Kluyveromyces lactis: one gene and its partners. Each later gene encodes a partner of the first gene's protein in a complex. Links are inferred from orthologs where the notes say so. Each region holds a gene or a part of one and is shown on either strand. Other genes may lie near its edges. The genes, in order: RPA34, RPC19 and RPA14.

Region 1 (2,519 bases):
AGATTCCCCGGCCTTGGATATATTGAAAGACTTGAATGAATTGAAAAATCAGTTCAAAAAGATCAAACAAAGCAATGCCCCCATCTCCAACTGGCAAGAAGTCACCGAGTGGACGCCTAGACCATTTGGCGTTTTGTAATTAGTATAATTAAGCCTTTTAGATACATAAGACAAAGCAAGAAAGATTGACAGTTCTACAGGTTCTGCGATGATAACAGGATTGAAAATGGAAATGGATAATAACATATAAAAAGATCAGACATCCTAGGAAGGTCTCAATAAAGAGCGGTCACTGAAGAGTACTAACGATGGGTTCGTAGGCGTACTCCTACCGTGGAAACTGCGAATGTAAAGGAACCAATTTTCATCATATAAAAAAATGTTAAAATCCATAACGCACAATCATGTTCTTAGCTAAAAAGAAGAAGTGAAACGTTTTGAAGAAATAAATGCAACAGAAGATACGACGATGGATCTTGTTTCACTGTTACTTTGACCTTAAGAAAACTAAAAAGAGAAAACTCAGATGATCTAAATTGTACATGTCAAAGCATGTACTGGCTTAAAAAGTCGTTGCCCCGTAAGACAACAACATGGTAGACTCCCATATCGTCATGGTCGATATCGGACTGGGAAAGAAGTGTAGACCGTTTTCATCATCGTTAAATGTTTTGAAGTTCTTTCGTAAGGTATGAAGTAATAATGAATCCCACGTATATGCAAACTTTTACGTTTATTTCTTCATGGAAAAGGTCTCTTTTCCAAGCGTAACATAGACGAATCAGTGTTTCACGGCTGTGAAACACTGCTCCATCAAGGATACTATAAAGCTCACTTGCCAACAGCAAGTGAGGCTAGAGAACAACCTACAGAACTTTTCAATACCTAACCTGGATAAATGGTTTGATGAGTTTAACATGTCTAGTTTGTTTCTCATTACCAGCCTTTTTATATTCTTCGTGTCGAAGAAGCATGGAAAAAATTTTTGGAATAATTGCGTCGTTCGACATGATAATACAGTAAACCAAGTACTTAGGGCATCGATGTCATACCATTCAACGGGAATCATAGTATTAGTGATCCAATAAATGTTGCTCGAAGGCTGTTCAAGTCGGACATACCATTTCTCGATGGTTTGTGATGAACTGGAACAGATTTCATGAATACGATAGTTTGTTCCACGTGTTAACCACGTGCATTTTCCCGGGTAACGTCTAAAAAGAAAGAAAAGTCTTTCCCAAGATGAAAAAATTCGGTTTAAGCTCATCTCATCTCATTGCAGATTCAAATAGACACACAGAGGCAGATAAGTGAGGTTCTGTGTGGTCCTAGGGTTCCAATTACAGTTTAACTAGTTCAGGTGAGTTTTTGTTACACCCTTCCCTGTAATATTATTCCACTCGCAAAACGTTATAAGAAATATCTCAAACAATGGCCAAGGTCGACAAAACTCTTTCAAAGGAATACATCAGTGATAGCGACAGCGATAATGATGGATCATCAGAAACTGTAACGGACGTTTTCGTTCCACCTGAAAACTATAAGAAATGTACACATTTGAAATCATTCGTGAAGCCTAAGAACTTGAAGCAAAAAGAACTTTGGCTTATCAAACTTCCTAAATCTTTAGATGTCTCTAAGCTTTCGAAATTACCTATTGATTTCACAGCGGAGTCGGAAACTGGCATCGAACAAAAAGGTAAACATTTCTCTGTGAAGGAGGAAATCCAACAAGAAAATTCCACTTCTGGTGCATCTTCTTCTTCTGAATTGACATTATTGACTCCTGTAGATAAGACAAAGTTGACCGTCGATTCATCTGCATCAAGATCATTTGATAAGATCTTTACCATAAGCGAAACTGCAAAGATTCCAAGCATTGATTATTCTAAGGTAAGAGTGGATAGAAAGGATGTGTTGAAGGTTAAGGGTCTCAAGACTAGACATTTCGCAACTGGGTATTACGAGGATAAAGATTTGAAGAAAGTTAGCAAAAAAAAGAGAAAGCACGACTAGAGCACTCGTTCTGGTCTTTCTGTATATTATTTATATATAACGCACTGGTCATATTTTAATTTGGGTTATATGTAGAATACGTTCATTATAAAAAGTAGGTATCTTCATACCCTATCGGAATAATCTCTCAATATACCAGCCATATGTGTATTGGTAACTTTACCCTTTCTTGATCTACGTTTCTTGACCTCTTTCCTTGTGGTTTGCTCATTCTTGATCGTAGCAGGATCCACACTAGCAGGCTTGAGACCCAAATCTTGTAGTTTTCTTGGTAATTCACTACGCTGAGGTAGCTTACAAGCTTCCCACATCGTAACGAACTCTTCATCGATTTGCCTTGATGGACCAGCATGGTTATACCAGACAAACCTTGGAGAATTATCCTTCTTTGTCCGAAGAACAAGGATTCTGTTCTTTGCTTCTAACTCGTCGATTGTATCAAAACATTGTGGCCAACCATCTTTTAACTCTTTACATGATATACCCTTGAACGTCGCCTGTGA
Region 2 (2,361 bases), on another chromosome or scaffold:
TTCTGCGGATGAGGGGCAGGCGCGTTCCAAAGGTTATTAACAATGGAGAACCCTCTAGTATAGGGTAACTCTTGCCCCGTGTTGCTAGGCACTTGTCCCATCTGTGAAGTAGACCCTCTGTTATCCGGCTGATTATCAATGTTCAAAAACGAAGAAATCGAACTATCCGTAGACAACCTTGGCTGATTGAAATTCGTATACATTGAAAGAGAATCCTGTCTTTGACCACTACCCGGTGGCTGGTTCAAAGAAGTCAAAGTATTTGGATGGTTCACGGGTTGGCCCTGAGGAGGAGGCATCTTATCCTTGCTTTGAGCACTATCTTGCTCTTGACGCTGACCACCAGCACCATTGTTTTGAGTTTCTGTGCTGCCCATCGTGTAACGCGTGTTGCTTTAAAAGGAAAATCTCACGGGAAACCTATTACTAAAACGGAGATGCAACACTCAGATCTCCTATCACCAAATCTCAAGGGTAAATTGTGAAATATTAAACGTTAATGGTCAATAATACCAGTACCAATACCGAAATTCAATATCGTTATTTTGATTGCCCCAATAACAACAAACTGATATCAAAAGTAACAACTATTTTTTGGGCTTTGGTCCAAAATGATAATGTAACGATGAGAAAACCAAGATTGAAAAAAAAAGAAAAAACTTTTTTTTATACCTTCCTTCTTATAGGTATTTTTTTTGAAAAATGCAATGATGAATGAAGGGAGAAGGAAAACTGATTGATCCTGTCGTGTCTGTACGGTGTTTTGTAAGGGGTTTTCCGTGGAATGATGATATTAGTTCAACAGATTGGAAACAGCACTATACGTGATGATGGAAACTTTAGCTGATAACTGGTTAGGTATACGGACTGTCCTTGTTTTATGATTTGTGAATGATATTTGATACTTGACCCGGATTGTTATGCTAATTCTGTAACGGCCTCCCCTGATGATTTTTGCCAAGGGACTTTGGGTATGTCTCGCTTTGGTCGCATTTTCTCATTTCTTTTAGTTTACTTTGCTTTTTGTTCGGGATCCGTTGTTTATATACTATGGTGTGGTACCCTGAGCGTGGCTATGAGCAACACCTGTGCATTGCGCGGTAACTGATGAAGTGTGTGACACGTGATCTGGTATTTCGCATCAACTTGCTTCTTTCAGTTACCCGGTCAAGACCGGGTAAGCTTTTTGTTTTTTCCTTTAGCATGATTTGGTTTTCCCTCTTCTCTCTATCGAAAAAACCATAATCAATATTGACAAATTGTTCAGCTTAACAGAGTAGGTCATCTCGTCTTATTGACTGTTTGAAAGAAGTACGCACAAACCACCTAAGTGACCATTCATAAGCGCTCTCGGAAATATGGCTGAAGTGGAAAAGCAAGATGTTGATATGCTAGCAGCTGAACAAAATGATCAAGTTGATCAAGTGGAGGAAGAAGTGGACAGTGAAAAGATCAAACTTCTCACAGAAGCTACTTCCGAAGATGGTACTAGTGCTTCTTTCAGAATAACAGATGAAGATCATACCCTTGGTAACACGCTTCGTTATATGATCATGAAAAACCCGGAGGTAGAATTCTGTGGTTACTCTATTCCTCATCCTTCAGAAAACTTTTTGCACATTAGAATTCAAACATACGGCAAAATTACTGCTGTAGAGGCTTTGCACAAGGGTCTTGGAGATCTAATGGACATGTGTGATGCTGTAGAGGACAGATTCACGCAAAGAATCAGGGAAATGTAGAAATTGGTTATCTCCAGCTCCCGCATTAACTATATATAAGAGAATAGAATTAAATACACAACTACATCATCCTTGTATAATACACTATAATATCTATTGATTCTACGTTTATAGCTACTGGTAATCTAGCACATTGGAAGCACCGTTGGATATACCATTGGCAAAAGTAGCTGGAGTGGCTAATGTAATCACGTGACCATTTTGGTAAATTGGTACATTGGTACAAATTTCTTTTTCTCTCTTTTTTGTTTCTTTTTGAAAAATTTGCAAGTTCCCTCATCGCCCTTTGAAACTAATATATAAGCTGCAAACATTATTCAAACCTGTCTCTGATCCTCGTTCATTCAGTATTACAAGTGTGCATTTTTTTTTATCGTTTGGTTCTCAACATCAAGCAACTTATTTCACACATTATACAGAGAACAATGAGTTTCGGCGGTGGAAGAGATCATCAATTTAACAGAAACAACATGGGCAGCACTCATGGTGACTTCCGTGGTAGCAGAGGTTCTGACAGAAACAGCTACAACAGAGGTAATGACTTCCGCGGTGGCCGTAGCTTTGGTCGTGGTCCATCTCGTGATACCAGAGTTGATTTGGTCGCTCCAAACTGGGACGA
Region 3 (2,477 bases), on another chromosome or scaffold:
CCTGTCCAGCGTGATCAATAGCGTACCACTGCAGATACAACGGGTTACCGCACTGAAATGACGAACGTATCCTCACTGATCATTAATCATGATCATTATTTTATGTTGAAAAGTCTTGTAAAGGTTGCGCTGATTGCAGAGGGCAGCTAAATTGGGAAATTTCAGGTGAGAAAAGGGAACAGGCCCGGGTAACCATTTTCATTGGGTAGCTACATTTGTTAATGGCCAAAGAGGAGAGATGATGATCTAGTCATAAACTTCCATTGATATAAAAGGGTGTTGTATATATGTATTTGAGTGTCTTCCATTACCAATTGAGTGAGATCAAATACACTCAATTAGTCAATGGGTTGTTATAGACATAAGTATATATATAGATATCCCGAGCGATTGAAGTGTGATAAAGGGAAGAAAAAAGGATTAAAATGAAAAAAAGAGTCAATTCCCTAGCTTATTTCCTTACAATTCACCAGACTTAGCGATAACAATTCTGGCCTTGGTAGCACCGGAACCGGAACCCAGGGATTCGACCTTCTTGACGACATCGAAACCATCAGCGACTTCACCGAACACGACGTGCTTACCATCCAACCATGGGCATGGAACAGTGGTGATGAAGAATTGAGAGCCGTTGGTGTTTGGACCAGCATTGGCCATGGACAACAAACCTGGCTTTTCGTGCTTCTTGACGAAGTTTTCGTCTGGGAACTTAGCACCGTAGATAGACTTACCACCGACACCAGTACCGTGAGTGAAGTCACCACCTTGCAACATGAAGTCTGGGATAACACGGTGGAAAACAGAGCCGGCGTAACCGAAACCCTTTTCACCAGTAGCTAGAGCTCTGAAGTTTTCAGTAGTCTTTGGAACAACATCGTTGTACAATTGGAAAACAATTCTACCCAATGGTTGACCGTCAGCTTCCACGTCGAAAAATACCTTAGACATTCTTAGTTTAGTTTAGTAGTTGATACTTGGTGTGTTGTAACCAAGATTTTGCAAACCAGAACAGAAGAGCAAGAACTGGACTTGAATTGGAATTGGATTGAAGTTGAATCAGAGTTCAATTGAGAAAGTGGTTGGTAGTTGCTAACAAAGGGTGGCGTTGGCTTCGCAAAATGGTATTAGGTGATGACATGCGGCCGGGTAACGAAAACGGAAACCCCATTATCTTACACATCAACCGCATTGTCGCCGCAAGTCACGTGACACACGTGACTTGCATATTTTGTTAACATCGCAAGGCACGGAGAAACATGCCTGAGTTACCCGTGCCTCAGCTGAAAAATTCTTCGAGAGACAAAACCTGAATCGAAATAATGCGATGAGATGAGATGAGATGAGATGAGATAGCCAAAGGTTGGGTAAATATATAGATGCTGATTTGATTCATCGCACTCCAACGAACAACCACGTATACCATGCTAAGGGGAACTAGAAGACCAGCAAACTCCACTTTGAACACGCCCGTTGTGGTACATACGGTGGGCACGCCAACATACCTATCTAAAGACGAAGTACTACAATTCCTAGCAAGTTTCATTGCCGAAAAGGAATCAGTACCAGGCGTGACACTAGCGTCAAGCGGAGCTTCTACAACCCAGGGAGCAGTAACTTCTGGTGGCATTAGTGCCGATGAAATGGCTCTAGATACACAGCTTTCCAGTGCTCTTGCGCAGCTGAAAAGAGTCGAAAGAGATTTCAAAGGTCTACCACCTCAAGTAATGGAGATGGAACCCTCCAGCACAAGTTCTACTGGTAATACAGAAGAAGATACGGTGGCTAAATCTGCTACTGGAGGGAAAAAGATCAAGTTTGCTGATGTGCCGGAATCTTCACAAACCTCCAGTGACAGCAAACAAACATCCTCATCCTCGGAATCGTCATCAGACTCTGAATAGACGGCTGATTTGCACTACCCACGAATCGGGAGGGTATTCATTCATTATATATATATATATATATATATATATACATACATACGCTAAGTTACATACAGTGACCGTTATAATCAATGCATAAGCTTGGAGCTCACCCTAATTGCAACATACCACGTGACTTCAAATACACAACTTTTTCTTTTCCAATGGGCTCACCTGCGGTTTCTTTCACACAGAGAGAGTGTGAGTCAGTTGGAATTTTTCGTCAAAGTGATATGACATCAGTTGAAAAGAATATCAACATTAACATCCGATTCCTTACTACCAGGTATATATTTGTACACACTTGTAGCATTCATCGTTGCTCTACTTTGCTTCTAATATACTTATCTCATTTTCTTGATCGTATTTATTCTAAAGCGATAAAGAGGATCTGAATCTTGCTTAGGAAGATTAAGAAAGAATCACTACTTATAATATACTATAACTATGGGTAAGAAAGTCGCTGGTGTCTTAGGAGCTACTGGTTCCGTTGGGCAAAGATTTATCTTGTTGTTAGCTGACCATCCAGATTTTGAATTGAAGGTTTTGGGTGCT

What was found.
Region 2: RPA34 (region 1) and RPC19 share a complex: the UniProt entries of both Saccharomyces cerevisiae proteins name them as parts of the RNA polymerase I (Pol I) complex. The link is inferred for Kluyveromyces lactis from reciprocal best matches to the Saccharomyces cerevisiae genes RPA34 and RPC19.
Region 3: RPA34 (region 1) and RPA14 share a complex: the UniProt entries of both Saccharomyces cerevisiae proteins name them as parts of the RNA polymerase I (Pol I) complex. The link is inferred for Kluyveromyces lactis from reciprocal best matches to the Saccharomyces cerevisiae genes RPA34 and RPA14.

Annotation. Positions count from the first base shown.
Region 1 is NC_006037.1:552,900-555,418, reverse strand, and holds RPA34 (DNA-directed RNA polymerase I subunit RPA34), read left to right. Parts: upstream 1-1,431; coding exon 1,432-2,016; downstream 2,017-2,519. Other genes in the region: rRNA-processing protein LAS1, read left to right, coding at 1-139; transcription factor TFIIE subunit TFA2, read right to left, coding at 2,121-2,519. UniProt on the Saccharomyces cerevisiae protein: DNA-dependent RNA polymerases catalyze the transcription of DNA into RNA using the four ribonucleoside triphosphates as substrates. Component of RNA polymerase I (Pol I) which synthesizes ribosomal RNA precursors.
Region 2 is NC_006042.1:2,217,936-2,220,296, reverse strand, and holds RPC19 (DNA-directed RNA polymerase core subunit RPC19), read left to right. Parts: upstream 1-1,358; coding exon 1,359-1,742; downstream 1,743-2,361. Other genes in the region: AZF1 (Azf1p), read right to left, coding at 1-377; DEAD-box ATP-dependent RNA helicase DBP2, read left to right, coding at 2,168-2,361. UniProt on the Saccharomyces cerevisiae protein: DNA-dependent RNA polymerases catalyze the transcription of DNA into RNA using the four ribonucleoside triphosphates as substrates.
Region 3 is NC_006040.1:1,414,726-1,417,202, forward strand, and holds RPA14 (DNA-directed RNA polymerase I subunit RPA14), read left to right. Parts: upstream 1-1,421; coding exon 1,422-1,901; downstream 1,902-2,477. Other genes in the region: peptidylprolyl isomerase CPR1, read right to left, coding at 460-948; HOM2 (aspartate-semialdehyde dehydrogenase), read left to right, coding at 2,370-2,477. UniProt on the Saccharomyces cerevisiae protein: DNA-dependent RNA polymerases catalyze the transcription of DNA into RNA using the four ribonucleoside triphosphates as substrates. Component of RNA polymerase I (Pol I) which synthesizes ribosomal RNA precursors.